3 linked regions of the Elephas maximus indicus genome follow. The protein of the gene in region 2 interacts with the protein of the main gene of each other region in a pairwise test. Links are inferred from orthologs where the notes say so. Each region holds a gene or a part of one and is shown on either strand. Other genes may lie near its edges.

What was found. The genes of interacting proteins can lie anywhere in the genome.
Region 1: the proteins of PLSCR1 (region 2) and CCER1 interact in a two-hybrid assay, tested with the Homo sapiens proteins (2 studies listed by BioGRID and IntAct). The two-hybrid records come from large-scale screens. The link is inferred for Elephas maximus indicus from reciprocal best matches to the Homo sapiens genes PLSCR1 and CCER1.
Region 3: the proteins of PLSCR1 (region 2) and GLRX3 interact in binary tests that used the Homo sapiens proteins (3 or more experiments, as listed by UniProt). The two-hybrid records come from large-scale screens. The link is inferred for Elephas maximus indicus from reciprocal best matches to the Homo sapiens genes PLSCR1 and GLRX3.

Annotation. Positions count from the first base shown.
Region 1 is NC_064822.1:155,350,597-155,356,852, reverse strand, and holds CCER1 (coiled-coil domain-containing glutamate-rich protein 1), read left to right. Parts: upstream 1-4,484; coding exon 4,485-5,744; downstream 5,745-6,256. UniProt on the Homo sapiens protein: Regulator of histone epigenetic modifications and chromatin compaction into the sperm head, required for histone-to-protamine (HTP) transition.
Region 2 is NC_064841.1:13,289,382-13,297,310, forward strand, and holds the start of PLSCR1 (phospholipid scramblase 1), read left to right. Parts: upstream 1-4,917; 5' UTR 4,918-5,198; exon of another isoform or gene 5,199-5,402; intron 5,403-5,447; exon of another isoform or gene 5,448-5,470; intron 5,471-7,929. UniProt on the Homo sapiens protein: Catalyzes calcium-induced ATP-independent rapid bidirectional and non-specific movement of phospholipids (lipid scrambling or lipid flip-flop) between the inner and outer leaflet of the plasma membrane resulting in collapse of the phospholipid asymmetry which leads to phosphatidylserine externalization on the cell surface.
Region 3 is NC_064834.1:80,051,878-80,059,745, reverse strand, and holds the start of GLRX3 (glutaredoxin-3), read right to left. Parts: upstream 3,013-7,868; 5' UTR 2,970-3,012; coding exon 2,881-2,969; intron 1-2,880. UniProt on the Homo sapiens protein: Together with BOLA2, acts as a cytosolic iron-sulfur (Fe-S) cluster assembly factor that facilitates [2Fe-2S] cluster insertion into a subset of cytosolic proteins.

The sequences.
Region 1 (6,256 bases), on a different chromosome or scaffold from region 2:
CAAGAAACTGATAGGAATTTGTGATGGTTAAGACTGTGTGTCAACTTGGCTAGGCCATGATTCTCAGTGTTTTGGCAGTTGTATAATGTTGTGATCACTTCCCTGTTGAAATGTGATACGTGATCAGCCCCATGATGGAATCTGCTGAATTGCACTGGTGGGGGTGGGGCCTGTGGCAGCCCACCACCCCCTCAGCCTTCATCTTTCCACCTTTCACTTCCTACTTCCTTCCTGCTCACCTCGCAAAGGTTGCTGGCTTGTTCTGGATCCAGCAGCTGTCTCTTGTCTGACCTCTGGTTCTTGGGACTTCAGCTAGTAGCTTACCTGTCCATCTTGGGATTTGTCGATCTTCACAGCCTTTGAGCAAGAGTCCTGCTCCCTGACCTGCCTATCTTGGGTTCGCCAGCCCCTGCAGCTACATGAATCAGGAGAAACCTTGTGGTCTTGCCTGCCGACCTTGGGGATTCCTCTACTGTCATGGCCTGTGATCGGGAGCCCTGCTCTCTGACTTGCTCATCTTGGGTTCACCAGCTTCTGCAGCTCCACGAATTGGGAAAGGCCTGTATCCTGATCCAAGGACTTGGGATGTTCCAGCCCCTACAATCGTGTAAGGTTTTTCCTTGATATAAATCTCTCTGTATATATTTACAGGCTTTACTGATTTTGCTTCTCTTGATAACCCAGCCTAAGACAGAATTCCACTAGAGAAACTTGATCATTTCTAAAGCTTTCCATCAAAACGCAGTATCTTCTACCACATATGCCCTAAGAAAAACAAATCTAGAATATCACCATTCCATTTTGAGTTAAGTAGAGCAGGAGGAAGGTAACTGCCAGATGTGTGATTTTACATCTAGAATCAGAAAAGGGGACACTGGAGGCTAAAAGTTTCAGCATAATGCATTTTGAGTCAAGCAGTCTTGTCTTCAGCAAACCACAGAGCAAATGAAATTGAATGAAGCCTGTGGTGTCTACAGGTCCCAAGGCAACTGTTGGAGTCCTGATCCAAGAACTCCCATACCATTCTCAATTTTCAAACAAGAATGAATCAATGACCTTTGCAAGCTTCAGGGCTTTTGCACATTCTGCTTCTCTGTCATTTAATGGAGGCTTGTATAGACTTGAGCTCCCAGCAGGCAGTGTTCCATTTTGCACAATTCCGCTCACCACAGAAAAGTAATAAAGGAATATACTCTGGGATGGTTATTTCTAGGATCAAACCTGGGAGTACTTGATTGATGTTTCTACAAAGTGGGACAAGAAAAGGACACAGGGGATGGCCTATCTATTTTTGTGTTAGTCACAGAGTTAGGTGTCTTTATATGTGCTGTATTACACCTTTTAAAATGCTTGAAATATTTCAGTATGACAATGACGCTAGTGAACAGTTGTTGAGTGCTCATTGTGTTCCTGTGCTAATCACTTCAATGCAGCATCTTATTAAATCCTTAAAATAAACCTACACACTGTAGTTGTTGTGTGCTGTTGAGTCAATTCCAACTCATAGCAACCCTATAGGACAGACTAGAATTGTCCCCACAGGATTTCCAAGGCTGTAATCTTTATGTAATCAGATTGCCACATCTTTCTCCCTAGAGCAGCTGGTGGGGTGAAGTGCTGACCTTTCGGTTAGCAGCTGAGCTCTTAACCACTGCACTGTCAGAGCTTCTACCTATGCACTAAAATACAAAAAACCAAACCCATTGCCATTGAGTCGATTCTGACTCATAGCAATCCTATAGGACAGAGTAGAACTGCCCTATATGGTTTCCAAGGAGCATCTGATAGATTCAAACCGCCGACCTTTTGGTTAGCAGCCATAGCTCTTAACCACTACACCACCAGAGTTTCCACCTATGCACTAGGTACTATTATTATACTCATGTTATTGGAAACCCTGGTGGCGTAGTGGTTAGGTGCTACGGCTGCTAACCAAAGGGTCAGCACTTCAAATCCGCCAGACACTCCTTGGAAACTCTATGGGGCAGTTCTACTCTGTCCTAGAGGGTCGCTATGAGTCGGAACCGACTATGAGTCGGAACCGACTATGAGTCGGAACCGACTATGAGTCGGAACCGACTATGAGTCGGAACCGACTATGAGTCGGAATCGACTTGATGGCACTGGGTTTGGTTTTTTGGTTATGGTAAGGAGGATGAGGCTGACAGGATAATAACCAAAATCAAGAAACTAAACCTGTTGCCATTGAGCGGATTCAGACTCATATCGACCCTCTAGGACAGAGTAGAACTGCTCCACAGGACTTCCAAGGAGCAGCTGGTAGATTCCAACTGCCGACCTTTTAGTTAGCAGCCCTAGCATGCTGTAGCTCTTAACCGCTGCACCACCAGGGCTCCAGAGGATAATAATCAGTATGTTAAAGCTGAACCATGTCTATTTATTCTTATTTATTTACATTCTTAACCACAATGTGACAAAAAGCTCCCAATGTATATGCCGTATGATGGGCAATGAAGAGATACAAGGAAAATCATAGTCAGAATATTTGTATTCTCTATTTTCAAGAACAAACCCACGGTATACAAACTGGTAATAATAGTGTTTGTTTAATCAGCAGAAATTTGTATGGCGTATTACAGTTTTCAAAGTGCTTTCCATATGTATTTCATTTACTCATCGCAAGAGCCCTACTTAAGGTGGATGGGTATAGCAATGTCCATAGGAATTTGGGCTCTGGGTTCTAATATGCCTAGATTTAAATTCTAGCCTGAAATGTATTAACCCCACAACCTTGAGCAAATTAACCTCTCCGTTCCTTAATCTGTGAAAGGTGGTAATAATATACGCCTTAGGCTGGGTTCTCCAGAGAAGCAAAACCAGCGAAGCATATATACGTATATATGTCTATGTGCATGTGTGTGTATGTGTCTGTGGGGGAGAGAGAGAAAGATGTATCTCAAGGAAATAGCTAATGCTGTTGTGGAAGTTGGCCAGTTCCCGAAGTCCATGGGCCAACTGTCAGCTGGAGGCTTCTCCTGACTCATGTGGCTGCAGGGGCTGACGAACCTAGAATAGGCAGGTCAGACAGCAGGCTGCGGGTTCACAGGGCTGTGGAAGCCAGCAAATCTCAAATTCAGCAGATCAGGAGACAGGCTGCTGGCTCAAGTCCCAAGAACAGGAGTCAGATGATGATAGTCCAGAAACAGGAGCCAGAGCAAGCAACTGGCCTCTGCCAAAATGTTTATATATATATATAAAAATGTAAGTATAAATATATATATATATATATATATATATATATATATATATATATATATTTGGCATTGGCCACACCCCCAGGGGAAACTCCCCTTACAAATGATTGGCTGATCAGATCAGATCACATCATGGACGTGATCATACTATATCATGAAATGGGTGATAATTACATCAGATCACAAAATGTAGGGTAATTACACACTACATAGTACCATGGCCTAGCCAAGTTGACACATAACATTAACCATCACACTACCTTACAGGACAAATGTGAAGATAGCACGCCATGAGCCACTCGCAGGTGTACAGTAAGCACAAGTAATAAATGTTAGAGGTCCTTGCATTATGTATAATGAATTGCAGTTACCAGGAGTTAAAAGAAGGGCATGAGCTGTGAGGTAAGGAGTGGAGCCCAGGTTTTCTGATTCTAGAAGCTTTCTTTTTATCCCCTCAGAAGCTCAAAGGGTAAGATATATACTTTTCAATACCTAAATCCTCCCCCGCAATACCCTTGGTTGAGCTGAAGGCCCCTCGTCTTCTGTATCCCCTCCCTCAGGGTAGTAGTGGTACAGTGCAAATGAACTGCCCTAAGCGTTGCCAAGTTGGGCCGCAGACTTCAGCAGTGCAAACCCCAGCCTTGGCCCCTCTTCCCCTCCTTCAAAAACTTCGTCACAAGCCCTGTAAGAACGTTCACGGGCCACCTTGTTCCCGGCCAGAACCCGCCTCCAGGCACAGGGAGAACGACCTCGAACCCCATTGGCTGTTGCCCGAGGCAACCAAAGACGCGGTGGGCACGCGGGGGCCCCTGGCCAGTATTTAAAGGCTGCGGCGACCCAGCGCCACCTCAGTCCGGCCAGGACGGCCACCGTGAAGCACCTGGGTTGAGAGGGAGCCCCAAGGTAACGCGTAACCCCTGCCTCCCTAGTTCCCAACCCGCGCCTCGGCAGAGGCAGGCGTGTGTGGGATCCGGGAGCGGGTCTCACTGCGCGTTGCCCACCAACACCTTCCTCCCCCACCATCCTTACCCAGCCCCAGTCCCACCCAACCCACCTGGGCAAGACAACCCGGGTGCGAAGGACAAGAGATTGCGACGAAAGAGCGGAAGAGGGGGACCTCCTGGAGAGAAAGGTGTGATCCTAGCGGCAGGCACGTGGCACTGAGTGGAGAGACACAGGTGACAAGACTCTCCAGAGGGTCGGATCTGGCCGAAGTTGAGGACAGCTTCTAGGACATTACCATTTAGATCTTTCAGGGCTTCCTGAACCATGAACCAGACCGTAGACACAAGGGAGGACCCTCTTAATCTGGGTGGCGGCTGGGCGTCCTCGGTCCCGTTACGCAACTGGTCCTCATCCCACCGAAGGCGCAGGAGCGCGTCGATTTACAAGCGGCGATACCGTTATGGCCCCAAGGCCGAATATGAGCCCCCGAGGAAACAGCCGAAGCAACAGCACGGCCCAGACCCTTGGGGCTACCCTCCTCGACAGCCCTATAGGGCCGTGTACTCCAACCGGGGGCGTTGGGGAGGTCCCTGGCATCCACCCCCAGCGGAATTCTGGAAGGCCCCTGGTCGGGTGCAAATGATCCGGGTGTACGGCCTGCAGCCAATCTGCCTTTGCTGCTGCTCCTGTTGGCACGGACCCCGGAACCCCAGCTGGATAAGGCCCTCTGGCAGGAAGAGGCGATGGGGCCGCAGGGGCCGCGGCCTGCGCCGCCCCCCTCGCCGCTCCTTCCCGAGGAGCCCGCCGGTGGATCTAAGCATGCTGCTGCGGCCAGTCAACCTGTATGGGTGGCGGGCGCCCGGCATGCGCGCGCCGCGTAACACCACCCAGTTCATCATGAACCAGATCTACGAGGACATGCGGCAGCAGGAGAAGCTGGAGCGCCAGCAGGAGGCGCTGCGGGCACAGCAGGTTCAGGCGGGCGGCCCGGCCTCCCCAGCGGCCTCCTGTGCAGGAGATGCGCCACCCAGAGGCGGCGAGGAAGACGCAGAGCTGCAGGAAATTTTGTACGGCTTTGTGCAGAATCCCTCTCTAGTGTTCAGACCTGCCCCCACGGAGGAAAACCGGTCTCCCACTCCGCAGCAGGTGGAGGAAGAGGAAGAAGAGAAAAACGATAATGAGGAGTGTGAGGAAGAAGTGTGTGATGAGGACAGTGAGGAGGAGGATGAAGAGGTGGAGGGTGAGGAGGGCGAGGATGAAGAGGAGGAGGCCGAGGATGAAGAGGAGGAGGCCGATGGTGGAGAGGAGGAGGCTGATGGTGAAGAGGTGGAAGAAGCTGACTATGAGGAAGAGGAGGGGGAGGAAGAGGAGGAAGAGGAAGATATAGAAGAAGAGGAGAGGATGGAGGAGGATGACCAGAGAGAGGAAGAGAACCATTTGCCTCTGGAAATGCCTTTATCAATCCTAGTAGGGTCTGAAGAAGAAGGAGAGAACTTTATAAATTGTAATTATTTCAGCCCAAAGCAGATGAACCCCGAAGTGCCACAGGAAACCCTCTTCATGGTACAGGACATTAACTATTAGACACCAGGAAAGGGATTGAGGAGTGAAATGAGACTGAATTGAGGCTAAAATGGATTAGCAATTTATTAAAAACTAAATGCAAAAGTGAGTTCCATTAATAAACATACGTAAGCCCCTTCTTTGGCTATTATAAATTGTTCGAAAATTGATGTGTTTCGTTTATCACCATGGGTGGCGGAGGGGTTTATATTAAATATAATTAAATTGGAAATGATTAAAGGCCAACTATTTTATTACTAAATACAGTTTCAATATTTCTTTTTGGTATTTTCCACTCTATAGACACTTGAGGTTTTTTTTTGTTTTGTTTTGTTTTTAATTCTGGCAATGCTGCAAAAAAAAAAAAAATTGTAACAAAGATATACCTTATCTATTTATTGTGCTTGGAATCAACAGATCTTTTGATTGCCAAATGCTTCAGAAACACATGAAATGGCCCTTGAATGTCCTCCAGTGCTCTTGACGTTCTAGCTGAAGCCATTTGAAAATGCCTGTTTTTTTATTTTTTAATA
Region 2 (7,929 bases):
GACTGCAGGGTTGTTCTGTTTCATAGCTCTACCATCCCTTAGAAACCCTGGTGGTGTAATGGTTAAGACCTATGGCTGTTAACCGAAAGATCAGCAGTTTGTATCCACCAGGTGCTCCTTGGAAACTCTATGGGGCAGTTCTACTCTGAGTTGGAATTGACTCCACACAAAACAGGTTTTTGTTTTGTTTTTAACCATCCCTTAGCAACTCATCATCTTCTGATAAAGGGAAACAGCACTGGAAAAGCTTACTTGTTTTCCAAAAACCTTGGCTTGGAGGGACCACAAATTGTTTCTTCCTCTAACATTCCATTGGTTAACTCAGTCTCATGGTCACACTAGATGCAAGGAAATGTAAACCCAGGCTGGACAACCACTTGTCAACAAGTCTATACCAAAATAAATAAATATATGGATTCCTTCCTCTACCTTTTCCATCTTCAAGGTCAAGAGAGGCAATTTTGGTGAAGAGCTAGTCATATGATTCACTTATCATGGGGAAAGAAGGATGGAATTACTAAGATTGTCTACTAAACAAAATTCTTTTTTTTTTTTTTTATGCGGGGGGGCGGGGGGCGGTTAGGACCTGCCCTCCATGAGCCTACTGCTCTACAATACCTGAAAGAAAAGGGTTCCTTTAGCACAATGGTTCTTGAAGTGTAGTCCACGGAAGAGCAGTATCTCACATGGAACTTGTCAGAAAAACAAAGACTCAGGCCCCAGTCCAGACCTACTAAATTAGAAACTCTAGAAGTGGGGCCCCAGCAGTTTTTTTTTTTTTTTATAACTTTTATTAAACTTCAAGTGAACGTTTACAAATCCAATCAGTCTGTCACATGTAAGTTTACATACATCTCACTCCCTACTCCCACTTACTCTCCCCCTCTTGAGTCAGCCCTTTCAGTCTCTCCTTTCTTGACAATTTTGCCTGCTTCCCTCTCTCTCTATCCTCCCATCCCCCCTCCAGACAAGAGTTGCCAACACAATCTCAAGTGTCCACCTGATACAATTAGCTCACTCTTCATCAGCATCTCTCTCCCACCCGCTGACCAGTCCCTTTCATGTCTGATGAGTTGTCTTCGGGGATGGTTCCTGTCCTGTGTCAACAGAAGGTCTGGGGAGCATGGCCGCCGGGATTCCTCTAGTCTCAGTCAGACCATTAAGTTTGGTCTTTTTATGAGAATTTGGGGTCTGCATCCCACTGATCTCCTGCTCCCTCAGGGGTCCTCTGCTGTGCTCCCTGTCAGGGCAGTCATCGATTGTGGCCGGGCACCACCTAGTTCTTCTGGTCTCAGGATGATGTAGGTCTCTGGTTCATGTGGCCCCTTCTGTCTCTTGGGTCCAGCAGTTTTTTAAAAAAGACTTCCAGGTGATTCTGATGCATACCAAAATTCGAGAACCAGTATTTCAGCATGTAAAAACAGATGCTGAATTTTGGGTAGGCACCAATAGTTGATATCATACCCAGAAGTTCTCTGATTAAAAGTGGTAATTTTCTTCAGAGATGATGATAAAATGAAAGTCAGTTAAAAAAAAAAAAAAAACAAGCAAAAAACCTAAAGCTGAGAAAAGCTACAAGGATGATGAAAAGACAAGAATATATTTTGGAGAGTATGATTTCAACAAGTTGCAGGTACTGGAAAGATGATGCAGGCATGATAGCTGATTTTGCAAGACAGGAAGTCGCAAGTTAAAGTGGATGAAGAAGGTTAAGAGAATGTGGAGATCCAATTCACAGCCACAAAACCCCCAGAGAGGCTCGGTGGTGCCAAATAAAGGTGAGGTTAAAGTTGAAAGTTGAAGCTTAGAAATAAAAATGAGAAATGCTTGAATTCTCAGAGGCTGATTCACCCCCCTCATTCACTAACCCCACGCTGACAATGGTGTATACCACCCTAAGCAAGGGATGGGAGATTTCTTCTGTATAAAAACTGACCAAAAGAGCCTTGAGATTCACAAACACAATATGTATTGGGGGAGAAGAGGCTGAAAAACAAGACTGAATATGGAAGTTACTAGATCTTTGTAGCCCTCCTTCCCCATCTGCAGCAGAAAGTCAACAATCAGGAAGTTTTTACTGAACACAGGAGACCTTGGACATCTACTTTGGCTACTGCAAAGGTGTTAAGACACAGATAATGATCAGGGCCCACCTGAAGGAAAAGCGTTGCCACCTTGTAAAACGAAAGAAGAGTAAACCCCACAGAAGGGAAGAGCACAAAGCACAGAGAAAAATTGCCTCTCCTGACCTTGATGATGGAAAAGCGTGGGGCGGGGGAGTCTATTGATGTATTTACTTGTCCTTATAAAATCTTAGACTTATAAGAACAAACATTAATTTCAGAAAAAACAGGCTTTAAAGGGAAAACATTACTAGAAAGAAAAAAAAAAAGAAAGAGGGACACTAATGATAAAGGTTCAATTCACCAGGAAGAGATAACAACTTTTATTATTATTATTGCCTAATCATATAACCTCAAAATATATGAAGAAAAGGTTGAAACAAAGAGCATGATTAAGAAATCTGACCTAATAAATAGAACACTGTAACCAACAACTGAAGTCTACACATACTTTGCAAATAATTGCAGAATATGTATAAAACCTAGCAAAGGGTCATAAAGCAAGCCTCCAAAAAAGTTCAAATGACTGAAACCAGACAGTGTACGTTCTTGGACCAAAACACAATTGCAAATAAGAAAAAGATAACTGGAATATCCCAATTTCTTAGTAATTAGAAAATAAACAGGAAGAAATCATAGTGAATGTCTTGGGGGTGCATTAGGCTTTTAAAAATAAAATGTGAAGTTCAGAAGTCAAAATGAAAAAGTAAAAGATAATTTAAAATTAAAACTTATGAATGGTGGAAGTCACTTTAAATAACTTACAAGCCAAAGGGCCTCTGGGAAGAAGAATCATACCTTTTTTAATACAAGAGGAATTCAAATGCAAAATGTATAAAGAATACTAACAAATCAGTGAGGGGGGAAATACCCCAGTCGAAAAAGCAAAATGGACATTAATATAAGACAAATTATAGAATAAAGTGGTAAAATGATCAATAATCACGTAAAACTACGCTCAACCTCATTAACAATCACAATTAAGAAACAAAAACAATAGTAAAATAATACTGCATTTGCCAATCACAATAGCAATCCTAGAACCAGAGACACGTGAAAAAATTGACTTTCTCGTATTTTGATGGGAGAATCAAACGACATGGTCTTACCGGAATAAGGTTCTTGCCTGTCACTGGTCAAGAATGAGCAGGTAAGGCACACAGAGTTTTCCACACAAGCAAAGCTTTACTGAAGAGGCTTGCAAGTGCAGACCAGGAGGGCCTAGAGCAACGCTTACCCTCATCTCACAGAACAACAGATGGCTCCTGTCCTGGAGGCCTCTGGGATTCATAGGAATACTTATTATGGGCTGCTGCACCTGCACAGTTTCTCCCTCCCTGGGGTCTGATTCCTCAGCTGGGCCTGTAGCCCCTCACTGCCCCTGGCAGAAGGTCACACAGCCGTCACAGGTGGATGTTCTGTCCTTGACTCCGGGCCTGGTTTTCTCCAGCTGCTTCTGAAAGGCAACTTCAAAGAAGTTTGTGGGCTATTTTTACATATCCTGCCCCATTGTTCTGGGGAATGGCTTTGTTTCTGCGCCCTGGCCCATTTCTTGGTACTCTGCAGATTTGGGAGGCCCTCTGTTCCTTGTCTTAATAAGCCCCTAGTCTCCACACTCAACTCCCTATTACCTCCCCGGTAGTATAGTCTATTTCTCTTTTACTTGCTTCTGCTCTAACCACACCAGTCTCTTCGCTATTTCTCAAACAGGCACCTTCCGATCTCAGGGCCTTTGCTCCCTGTCTTAATGGTTTTCAAGCCCTGTGTACAGAAGCAGACATGCCAGGATGATGGCTACAGCATAATGAATCATCATTAAAAAATGGAAACAAACTACACCTAGATTATCACATCTGTATGAGATATGGAGATTTCCAAGATCATCGTTAGATGAAGAAAGGCAATCCTATTTAGGTAAAAAAAACACCGTTGGTAGATCTGCATACTCATATTTGTGTAACAACAACATATAACGTTTACTAAGCGCTTCCTCTGTTCCAGGCACTATTTAAGCTCCTTATTTTAAATTCTGTACCTTTATAAAAATTCTATTAGATAGATACTATTACTATGATGTTTGGAAACTTGTTTTGAGTCAAACCGACCAAGCGTATTCAGAAAGTTTCGTTTTCCGCCCCCGCGACGGGAACAAAGGCGTGCAATAATAAACAAGTAGTTGTGGAACTGAAGGGTTCCTTGATTTTTTTTTTTTTTAATTTTTACTTAACATTTAAAAAAAGAGGCACAGAGATTGGCAGGTCACTTTCCCGAGGTCACAGAGCTGGTTAAGTGGAGGAGAAGGAATTCCAGCGAAGGTGGTTCAGTTTCCTCCCGCCTGTTTCCATCCTTTGCAATGTCTATCTCCTCTCCTTTCCTTCCAACCTCTTTTTTTTTTTTCTCTCCTTTCCTTCCAACCTCTACCTCTTAGTCTGTTCACAGTAGAATGGGGAGAGAAGCGGGGATAGGGGTGGAGAGGGACTATTTCTCGGTTTTATTGTTTGAAACATCACGTGTTACTACTGTAAATAAAAATTAAAAAAAAAATCAAGGAACCGTTCAGTTCCACAACTACTTGTTTATTATTGCACATCTGTGTTCCTGTCGCGGGGGCGGAAAACGAAACTTTCTAAATACACTTGGTCAGTATGACTCAAAACAAGTTTCCAAACATCATTTGATGCAAAGAAAGCAAGAGAGCGGGAGGTGAAACACACGCAAAAAAGAAACAATCTTGACGCCGATTTATTCATGCTCCCGCCCCCCTCCCTCCAACCCCGCAGCCCCCACCTTTGAAAGGCAGCAGGAACCTGACTCTTGTAGTCAGCGCCGGGATAAAGGAAGTGCTGCGTAGGCCGCTCCAACTCCTCCCCACGGGCGGCCGCATCTGAGTTTTGACTTTTCCTCTTTTCCAAGTCACAGCTGGTGGGGCCTCTCCCATTCCTGGGCTTCAGCGATAACCCCAGAACTAACGTCTTCTGAGCCCCTGCCACCGGCAAGGGAGGGGCGGGGCGGACTTCCCCAGGGTGGCCGGTCTGCTCCAGGTGCCACGGGACCTCGGCGCCAGTGCTGGACCAGGTGAGGGGCGCACTGGTTATACCTGGGCTCCAGGAGCCACGGGACCTCGGCGCCAGCGCGGGACCCAGGTGAGGGGCGCACTGGTTATACCTGGGCTCCAGGAGCCACGGGACCTCGGCGCCAGCGCGGGGACCAGGTGAGGGGCGCACTGGTTATATCTGGGCTCCAGGAGCCACGGGACCTCGGCGCCAGCGCGGGACCCAGGTGAGGGGCGCACTGGTTATACCTGGGCTCCAGGAGCCACGGGACCTCGGCGCCAGCGGGGGGACCAGGTGAGGGGCGCACTGGGTATACCTGGGCTCCAGGAAGCCCACCGGGAGCCGCGGGTTTCGACGCCGAGGTCGTTTCGCGGCCCCTTTTCTCGGAGACTTCAGAGAAGTTATGTAACCAGGCATACCCGACCGCCGAGGGGTCCGGGGAGAAGCTCCTCGGCCCCGCGCGGTCTTCTGGGTCCTGGGGCACCGAGGCGCCTTGGCTCTCGGGCTGCGCCGCGCCGGCTGGGGGCAGCCCCAGGTGGGCGGTTTCTCTGTCTCCTGGCGCGGGCGCGGCTTGGGGAGGTGCGCGAGGGCCCGCGGGTTCTGTTTGCACCAGGGCTGGGGGCCGGGGGCCGGGGGCGGCCTCGGGAAGCGACCGCGGAAGTGGAGCGGGGTCTCCACCAGGGGCTCTAGCTGGCCCAGCGGTTCTCCGGGCCGTGCCCCGACCTTTCCCAATGACAAGGTTGGTCCTGCCCGAAACTGCCTTATCTGGGCTTTGTTTTCGCTGCTTTGCAGTGCAGAGAGCCGTGTTGAATCCATTCGAGAAGCTGGGTTTGTTAGAGCAGCTTGTTGGAGGTATTAGAAGAGACGATTAATAGAGTCATCCAGCTGTCATTTAGCCCCAGCCTATGCTGAGCACCCTAGACTAGGAAAAGAAACCGAAAGATAGAGGCGGTGTGGTGGTAAGACCACCAGCTCCAGCGTTAAGCTGTTTTGAGTTTCAGTTGTTTCTGTCTTTTAGTATCCGTGGACTTTGAGCCAGTTACAGGCAGTCTCCGTTTAAAAAACATCCGACTTAATATGAGTCGAAATCGATTCGATGGCAGTGGGTTTGGTTTGGGTTTTAAGAACAACTGGTACTTATTTTAAGAACGGACTGCCATAAGCCTATTGTATTAAACATTTGAGTTGTAGGCTTAAGATACTTTAGTGTATTTGGGAAGTGTTTCTTAGTGATTTGTATGCACACACAAAAAATTTTTTTTGAAAGGTAAAATATATGCTAAGACAAACGTTTGATGCTAAATAAGAATCTTATGTATCTGTTCTGACTTATCTATTAATTCAATTTAAAGACCCTTGGGGATGGATCTTGTTCATAAGCGGGGGCTGCCTGTATTTCATGTATGTGCCTTTGTTGCCTCATCTCTGAAACTGGGTTAAGACATCAACACATGTGATGTAATTAGACCAGTACCTAAACCAAACCAAACCAAACCAAACCCAAACCCAGTGCCGTCGAGTCGATTCCAACTCAGCGACCCTATAGGACAGAGTAGAACTGCCCCATAGAGTTTCCAAGGAGCGCCTGGCGGATTCAAACTGCCGACCACTTGGTCAGCAGCTGTAGCACTTAACCACTACGGCATCAGGGTTTCCTGAGCAGTACCTAATACTGCTAAAAATACGACCCTTGCTTGTCCAAGCTCACTGTCAGGTTTTCCTATGTGATTTCACTTACCCATAGTTACTCCTGGAAGTCTTGGCACCTCACTTCTGTGTACCAGGAACAGGCAGCCGTTGTTTTCCATAGAAGTTTAAAAGAAAAAAAATTTGCAATTCATGTTTAGTACCGGTAACCCATTACGGTCCAGGGGATTCCGACTCATAGTGACCCTATGGGACAGAGTAGAACTGTCTCATAGGGCTTCCGAGAAGCGGCAGGTGGATTCGAACTGCTGACCTTTGGGTTCGTAGCCTTAGCTCTTAACCACTGCACCACCAGGGCTCCGTGCTTAGTACATGTGGCACTATTTAGTGCGAAGGGGCACGAAGTTTTGGCTTTCTTTTTCTTCTCTAAGCTTTCCCAACAGCAGAATTTTCTTTTAATGCCACCGTGGGTTTTACCACAGTTGTGGGGTTTTCAACAAGAGCAAACACCATGACAAACAAAAGGAAATGAGTGGATTTCTGCAGTGGATAGGAAAGTGGAATGTAAAAAGCAGGGTTTTAGTTTAAACAGCTTTCAGATCTGTAAGGTAACTGTTTTACAGAGTGGAAGGAATTAAATAATACCACACACAGGTTAATTCAGTAAGTATCAATTAAGCACCTTGTCCTGGACAAGACTGACCGTGCTTGGCCTTTGAGAGCTTACTTAGCATTGGAAGTGAAGAAATGTTAGATGTGTGTGAAATGGCCCCAGTAGACCTCTCCATCTTTTCCTGGGATTCTCTCTCTCTTCTTCTGCTGTGTAACCCCACCGACCTTTTAATTGAGGAAATGAGCCAAGCTCCCTCTAGCCTCATGATTTAGACACGTGTGGTTCCCTCTGTCTGTCATGGCACCCCTCCTACATACACCCAGGGGCACATGATGGTTGTTACTGGACTTTCTTCAGTCAGAGCTGACTTTCCTGATAGTGTCTCACCATCTAAATTAGTGCCCCCGTGATTCTTTTTTATAGCACCATTTACTTTTATTCATAGCACGTAGAGTAATTCTTTATTGTGTTAGTTTTCTATTTCCTGTATCTG
Region 3 (7,868 bases), on a different chromosome or scaffold from region 2:
GCAACTTATAAAATCTAATTAGATAGCTTAAGCAAAAAAAAAAAAAAAAAATTTCAATTCATACCAAATTTTAAAACTGAGAAGGGATGATTTGGAAAGATTTTAAATGATTACATTAACACAAACCAAACCTGTTGCCTTCAAGTCGACTCTGACTCATAGCGACCTTATAGGGCAGAGAACTGCCCCACAGTTTCCAAGAAGTGGCTGGCGGATTCAAAAGGCCAACCTTTTGGTTAGCAGCTGTAGCTGTTAACCACTTCTCCACCAGGGCTACTTACTACCTCATGTTCTGAATGCTGACGTTTTCACAAGAGGCAGAGATTGTTCCTTCCCCAGATGCCAGATCCTGTGTCCCACGTGCCTTTTTACGCTAATTACTACAGAAAGGGTGTGAGGGTTTTTGGGTCATTTCAAGTACAGACCAGTAGCAAGAATACATCTAACTGGTATTTACATTTAAGCCTTTACCCCTTGTGGTATTTTAAAGATTGTTTACAACATGAAGCATAAAAAAAACGTAAAACACACAAAAAAACCAAAGTCAGGTGACGGTAAATTGAAAACGTTTATCAAGGGCAGGTCCACACAAGCTGTACTTGCTTCCAGAGGCCACCTCTCATGTCCTCCGTAATTTTGCTGCCTTCAGATCTGTGTGGAAAAGTGCAGGATGAACCAGAGTCCAGTGCTCATCAATGAGTAAACCTCATTTCCCCTCGTTTAACAATTTCCCAGGTAAGCCTGAAATGCCAAAAGAGCTGTTTTAATTAGCACTTGGACTTCATTGCCTCCATAAAGCATGGCCAGCCAGAAGAGTTATCTGTCACTTCTCCCCATCTTCAACAAAGGCAAGCCCCCATCTCATCTGCACTCTCCATTGAAAAAATCACAAAGTACTACCCGCTTCTAATTCAAATTCAGTGACAAACTTCTACTGAATTTAGATCAATTAAGCATTTATGGCCTGTGAACTCCATGCAGGCACTCCGCTCCATACTGAAAACAGTAACAGTCAACATCTCCACGTGCTTTCAGCATGCCAGACAACGAACGAGCTAGGTATTTTACAGTCATAGTCTTGTTTAATCCTCACACAACCCTAGGAGGTAGGTACTACTCTAAACCATTCTACCGCTTAGGAAACTGACGCTTGCTTATGAAACTGGCCCAGCGGTCCCATAATGCCTGGTAACTGGCCACGTTGGGAATCTGGTCCCACGCAATCTGACACTAGAGCTTCCATCTGAACTCAGTCCTTCCAGGGCTCTAGAGCTGAGGTGGCACTGTTACTAAGGAGCGCTCATCGGCATTCCTGTAAGCATTTACTTGTAAGCATTCACCCCTGCAAGCATCTACCTGCAAGCATGCATATAGTTCAGAGCTTCCATTTATCCAAAAACGTTTTCAGGGCATCCCTTTGTAGTCTTCTCAAGGGCAAGAAGCACGTGGGCCAACCTGAGCCAACTCGGACTACACTGATTCAGGAAACAGGAAATCCCTGCCTGTGGCAACCTGAGTACCAACAAACTTTAAAATATAATTTTAAAATGAAGACAGAACTGCCTAACCCTGGTACGGCTTGATTGGTTGCTTTTCCTGGTGACAGGTACGTTCTACAAAGTGACGCTAAGAGACAGTACAGACAAGTGCGACCTGTCCGATTACAGTCTGCACAGAGAGGTCGGACCCACGGGCTTGGGGTCCCCACTGACGCATTCCCCGCTCTCCAGGCCCAGCTGAGGTCTCCGACCCCCGCCCTCCCCATCCGCCCCCACCCCCTACCCAGGGCCAGCGGGGGGTCTCTGCATCCCCCACCTTTCATGCCCTGTCCGGGTCTCAGCGTCCCCCGCCCTCCAGGCCCGGCCCAGGTCTCATAACCCCTCGCCCCGCAAGGCCCAGCGCGAGTCTCCGAGCCCCTGCCCTCCAGGCCCAGCCCGGATCTCATGGCCCACTGCCCTGCAGGCCCAGCTGGGGTCTCCGCGCGCCCCCCCCCCTCCCCCGCCTCCTGGCTCAGACCAGGTCTCTAGGACCCTGCCCTTCTGGCACAGCCCAGGTCTCATAACCCCTCGCACCCCAAGGCCCAGCGCGAGTCTCCGCGCCCCCTGCCCTCCAGGCCCAGCGCGGGTCTCAGACCCCCTGCCCTCCAGGCCCAGCGCGGGTCTCAGACCCCCTGCCCTCCAGGCCCAGCCCGGGTCTCAGAGGCCCCTGCCCTCCAGGCCCAGCCCGGGTCTCAGAGGCCCCTGCCCTCCAGGCTCAGCCCGGGTCTCAGAGCCCCCTGCCCTCCAGGCTCAGCCCGGGTCTCAGAGCCCCCTGCCCTCCAGGCCCAGCCCGGGTCTCAGAGGCCCCTGCCCTCCAGGCTCAGCCCGGGTCTCAGAGCCCCCTGCCCTCCAGGCTCAGCCCGGGTCTCAGAGCCCCCTGCCCTCCAGGCCCAGCCCGGGTCTCAGAGCCCCCTGCTCCAGGCCCAACCCGGATCTCAGCGCCCCCTGCTCTCCAGGACCCACCCAAGTCTCCGGCCCCGCCCAGACTGCTAAGCTGAGTCACCGCGTCCGTGACCCCAGAATGGCCAGGCCCGAGGCTGGAGAGTCGGGTCCACGGGCCCGGGCCGCCAATTGGGCCGGGCCGCGCCCCCGGAGCCGCACTTCAGCGGCCGGGCGGGGGGCGGCCTCCGCACTGCTGACTCTCCCAGGCAAAGCAAGCCAGACTCTGGGCCGTCCAGCTCTGAACCCCAAATGAGGACTATGGGGCGTCCGCGGGCCGGGCGGTCCACCGAGGCCGCGACCGAACGGCGGGAGGGAGCCGGCCAGGCCTTCCAGTGGGGCCGGGCCTCGCGAACGGCCTCCGCCACGGCTCCTAACTTCCGCCGCTCGCCGCCCCGCTTACTTGGCTTTGACGGGCAGGAGCTCCTCAAACTGCCTGGCCGAGCCAACCTCCACCACGGCGGCTGCCGCCTCGGGCGCCCCCGCCGCCATGCTGCCGCCGCCAGACAGGAGCAATCGAGCGCGGGCGGCTCGGTGGGCGGGGCCGCGACGCCGGCTCGCTGCGCGCAGGTGGATCGCCGTCCCCCGCAGGACCCGCCCCCGGACCCGCCCCATCCCGGCCTGCGCCGGCCTCCCGCGGGACCCGCCCGGTAGGCCCCGCCTCCCGAGCGACTTGCCCCGCAGGGCGCCGTCTCTCGCGCCCCGCCCCTCCCGGCCTGCGCATGTCCCCTTCGGACCGGCCCTGCAAGCCCCGCCCCCTGCAGGCCCCGCCCCTCCCGCGGCCCCGCCCCGCAGGCCTCTTCCGTCCCGCGGGCCCCGCCCCAGAGTCTCTGTACTCTGCAGCCGAGATCGTGAAACGACAGAGGCCGCGCTGGCGCCTGGCCCAGGCCAGGGGTTTCCACTGGGAACCTGGAATCCTCATGCCAAGGGTCGTGACTGTCAGGTAGCCATGTGGCTGCGATACCCATTATGGTGGCCATAGGGCTACTATAAGCATAGACCACAGGACCGTAGGATTGATTCGAAATAGCCAGTACCAGTCCATTTCCGCTCTCTGATGCCTAGGATCGCTGAGTCGGAATCCACTCAACCGCAGTGGGGTTTTTTCATGCCTAGGACAGCGATCTTTTTGCATTTCACTTAATTTTGACGACTTCAGTTTTCCTAGATTCAACCACATATGTCTGCATTCCACCTTCTGATCACTAATGGATGTTTGCAGCTGTTTCTTCGCATCTTGAGTCGTACCAAGTCCGCAAATGAAGGTCCCGAAGCTTTACTCCCTTTACATCATTGAGGTCGACCATACATTGAGGCCCCAGCCCTGGTGGCACGGTGGTTGAGAGCTCAGCTGCTGACCAGCTGCTCCTTGGAAACCCCATGGGGCAGTTCTACTCTGTCCTAGACTGTTGCTATAAATCAGAATGGACTTGAGGGTGGCGGACTTTTTTTTTTTTTTTTTTTTTTTTGATACTTTGAGGAGGCAGCTCTTCCCCAGTCTTCTTTTGAGTGTCTTCCAACCAGATGTGTTCCTCTTCCAGTACTATATCAGACAACGTTCTGCTGCTGTTCATCAGAAATTCAAACCGGATTCAGAAGAGGCCGTGGAACCAGGGATATCATTGCTGATGTCAGATGGAGCCTGGCTAAAGGCAGAGAACACCAGAAGGATGTTTACCTTGTTTTATTGACTATGCAAAGGCATTCGCCTGTGTGGCTCATAACAAATCATGGATAACATTGGGAAGAATGGGAATTCCAGAACACTTACTTGTGCTCATATGGAATGTATACAAAGACCAAGAGGCTGTCATTTGAACAGAGCAAGGGGATACTGTGTGGTTCAAAATCAGGAAAGTTGTGTGTCAGGGTTGTATCCTTTCACCATATTTATTCAATCTGTATGCTGAGCAAGTAATCCGAGAAGCTGGACTCCATGAAGAAGAACGTGGCATTAGATTGAAAGAAGACTCATTAACAATCTGCAATATACAGATGACACAACCTTGCTTGCTGAAAGTGAAGAGGGCTTGAGGCACTTACTGATGAAGATCAAAGACTACAGCCTTCAGGATGGATTACATCTCAACATAGAGAAAACAGAACTCCTCACAAATGAACCAAAAGCAACATCATGATAAACAGAGAAAATATTGAAGTTGTCAAGGATTTCATTTTGCTCAGATCCACAGTCAACGCCCAGGGAAGCGGCAGTCAAGAAACCAAGTGACGTATTGTATTGGGCAAATCTGCTGTAAAAGGCCTCTTTAAAATGTTAAAAAGCGAAGAGGTCACTTTAAGAACTAAGGTGCATGTGACCCAAGCTGTTGTATTTTCATTTGCCTCAGAGGGATGCTAAAGCTGGATAATAAGTAAGGAAGATTGAAGGAGCCCTGGTAGCGCAGTGGTGAAGTGCTTGACTGCTATCCAAAAGGTTGGCAGTTTGAACCCACCAGCCACTTCACAGAAGACAGATGTGGCAGTCTGCTTCTGTAAAGATTACAACTTCAAAACCCCACGAGGCAGTTCTACTCTGTCCTTACTCGGTTGCTGTGAGTCAGAATCGACTCGACGGCCATGGGCCTCTAAGTGTAAAATATACAACTGATTCAAAGATTCAGTATAAAAAAAGTAAAATACCTCATTTATGATTTTGATACTGATTATATGTTGAAATGATAATATTTTGAATATATTGGATTATATGAAATATATTGATAAAATTAAATTTACCTCCTTTTACCTTTTTAATGTAGTTACTAGAAAAATTTAAATTACATGGAGGCTTTCATTTATGGCTCACTTTATTTATTTATTTACTTTTGGATTTTGTATTTTCTGTGGGAGGGTGTTGCTGCAGGGATTAAAAGTGGCCTTTTGGAGCCACGTTACAGGTTGTCTTACACTGAGAAACGGATTTACTGAAATTGGTACATTACCTTATTTAAAATGCAACGGAACTGTGGTGAGAAACTGTTCTGTATCTTCTTGAGTGTAGTGGAGAATACGTGAACCCACACAGGTGATAAAATTGCACAGAATTAAATACACCCACACAAGAGTGAGCAAAGTAAACCTGGGGAAGTCTGGATAAAACGAGTAGGTCACGTCAATATCCTAATGGTGATATTGCTCTGTAGCTTGCAAAATATTACCACTGGGGAGACTGCCAAAGGTGTTCAATGGGGGGGGACCTTCGCTTTTTACAGGATGCACTTCTGTCACTGCATTTTTTCAAAGAGCATGGATTGGCTTTGTAATTAAAAATATACTGAAATTGTGATGCACCAGGGAAATGGGCCATTTTGAGTCGTTTTCAGAAGAGCAGTAATCACCCCTCTAACACGTTGTTGTTGTTAGGTGCCATCGATTCCGTTCCGACTCATAGCGACCCTATGCACAACAGAACGGAACGCTGCCCGGTCCTGCGCCATCCGTTGTTACGCTTGAGCTCATTGTTGCAGCCACTGTGTCAATCCCCCTCGTTGAGAGTCTTCCTCTTTTCCGCTGACCCTGTACTCTGCCGAGCATGATGTCCTTCTCCAGGGACTGATCCCTCCTGACAGTAAGTCCAAAGTATGTAAGACGCAGTCTTGCCATCCTTCCCTCTAAGGAGCATTCTGGCCGCACTTCTTCCAAGACAGATTTGTTCGTTCTTTTGGCAGTCCACGGTATATTCAAAATTCTTCGCCAGCACCGCAATTCAAAGGCGTCAACTCTTCTTCGGTCTTCCTTATTCATTGTCCAGTTTTCACATGCATATTATGCGATTGAAAATACCATGGCTTGGGTCAGGCACATCTTAGTCTTCAAGGTGACATCTTTGCTCTTCAACACTTTGAAGAGGTCCTTTGCGGCAGATTTACCCAATGCAATGCATCTTTTGATTTCTTGACTGCTGCTTCCATGGCTGTTGATTGTGGAACCAAGTAAAATGAAATCCTTGACAACTTCAATCTTTTCTTCATTTATCATGATGTTGCTTATTGGTCCAGTTGTGAGGATTTTTGTTTTCTTTATGTTGAGGTGTAATCCATACTGAAGGCTGTGGTCTTTGATCTTCATTAGTAAGTGCTTTGAGTTGTCTTCACTTTCAGCAAGCAAGGTTGTGTCATCTGCATAACGCAGGTTGTTAATGAGTCTTCCTCCAATCCTGATTCCCCATTCTTCTTCATATAGTCCAGCTTCTCGGATTATTTGTTCAGCATACAGATTAAATAGGTATGGTGAAAGAATACAACCCTAACGCACACCTTTCCTGACTTTAAACCAATCAGTATCCCCTTGTTCTGTCTGAACAACTGCCTCTTGATCTATGTAAAAGTTCCTCAGGAGCACAATTAAGTGTTCTGGAATTCCCATTCTTCGCAGTGTTATCCATAGTTTGTCATGATCCACACAGTCGAATGCCTTAGCATAGTCAACAAAACACAGGTAAACATCCTTCTGGTATTCTCTGCTTTCAGCCAGGATCCATCTGACATCAGCAATGATATCCCCGGTCCCAGAAACCAGCCTGAATTTCTGGCAGTTCCCTGTCGATATACTGCTGCAGCCGTTTTTGAATGACCTTCAGCAAAATTTTGCTTGCGTATGATATTAATGATATTGTTCTATAATTTCCACATTCGGTTGGATCACCTTTCTTGGGAATAGGCATAAATATGGATCTCTTCCACTCAGTTGGCCAGGAAGCTGTCTTCCATATTTCTTGGCATAGACGAGTGAGCACCTCCAGCGCTGCATCTGTTTGTTGAAACATCTCAATTGATATTCCATCAGTTCCTGGAGCCTTGTTTTTCGCCAATGCCTTCAGAGCAGCTTGGACTTCTTCCTTCAGTACTATCGGTTCCTGATCATATGCCACCTCTTGAAATGGTTGAATATCTACTAATTCGTTTTGGTATAATGACTGTGTGTATTCCTTCCATCTTCTTTTGATGCTTCCTGCATCGTTTAATATTTTCTCCATGGAATCCTTCACTGTTGCAACTCGAGGCTTGAATTTTTTCTTCAGTTCTTTCAGCTTGAGAAACACCGAGCATGTTCTTCCCTTTTGGTTTTCCATCTCCAGCTCTTTGCACATGTGATTATAATAATTTACTTTGTCTTCTCGAGAGGCCCTTTTTTTACTTCATCAATTCTTCCTTTTGCTTTAGCTGCTCGACGCTCAAGAGCAAGTTTCAGAGTCTCCTCTGACATCCATCTTGGTCTTTTCTTTCTTTCCTGTCTTCTCGGTGACCTCTTGTTTTCTTCATGGATGATGTCCTTGATGTCATTCCACAACTCATCTGGTCTTCGGTCACTAGTGTTCAATGCGTCAAATCTATTCTTGAGATGGTCTCTAAATTCAGGTGGGATATACTCAAGGTCATATTTTGGCTCTCGTGG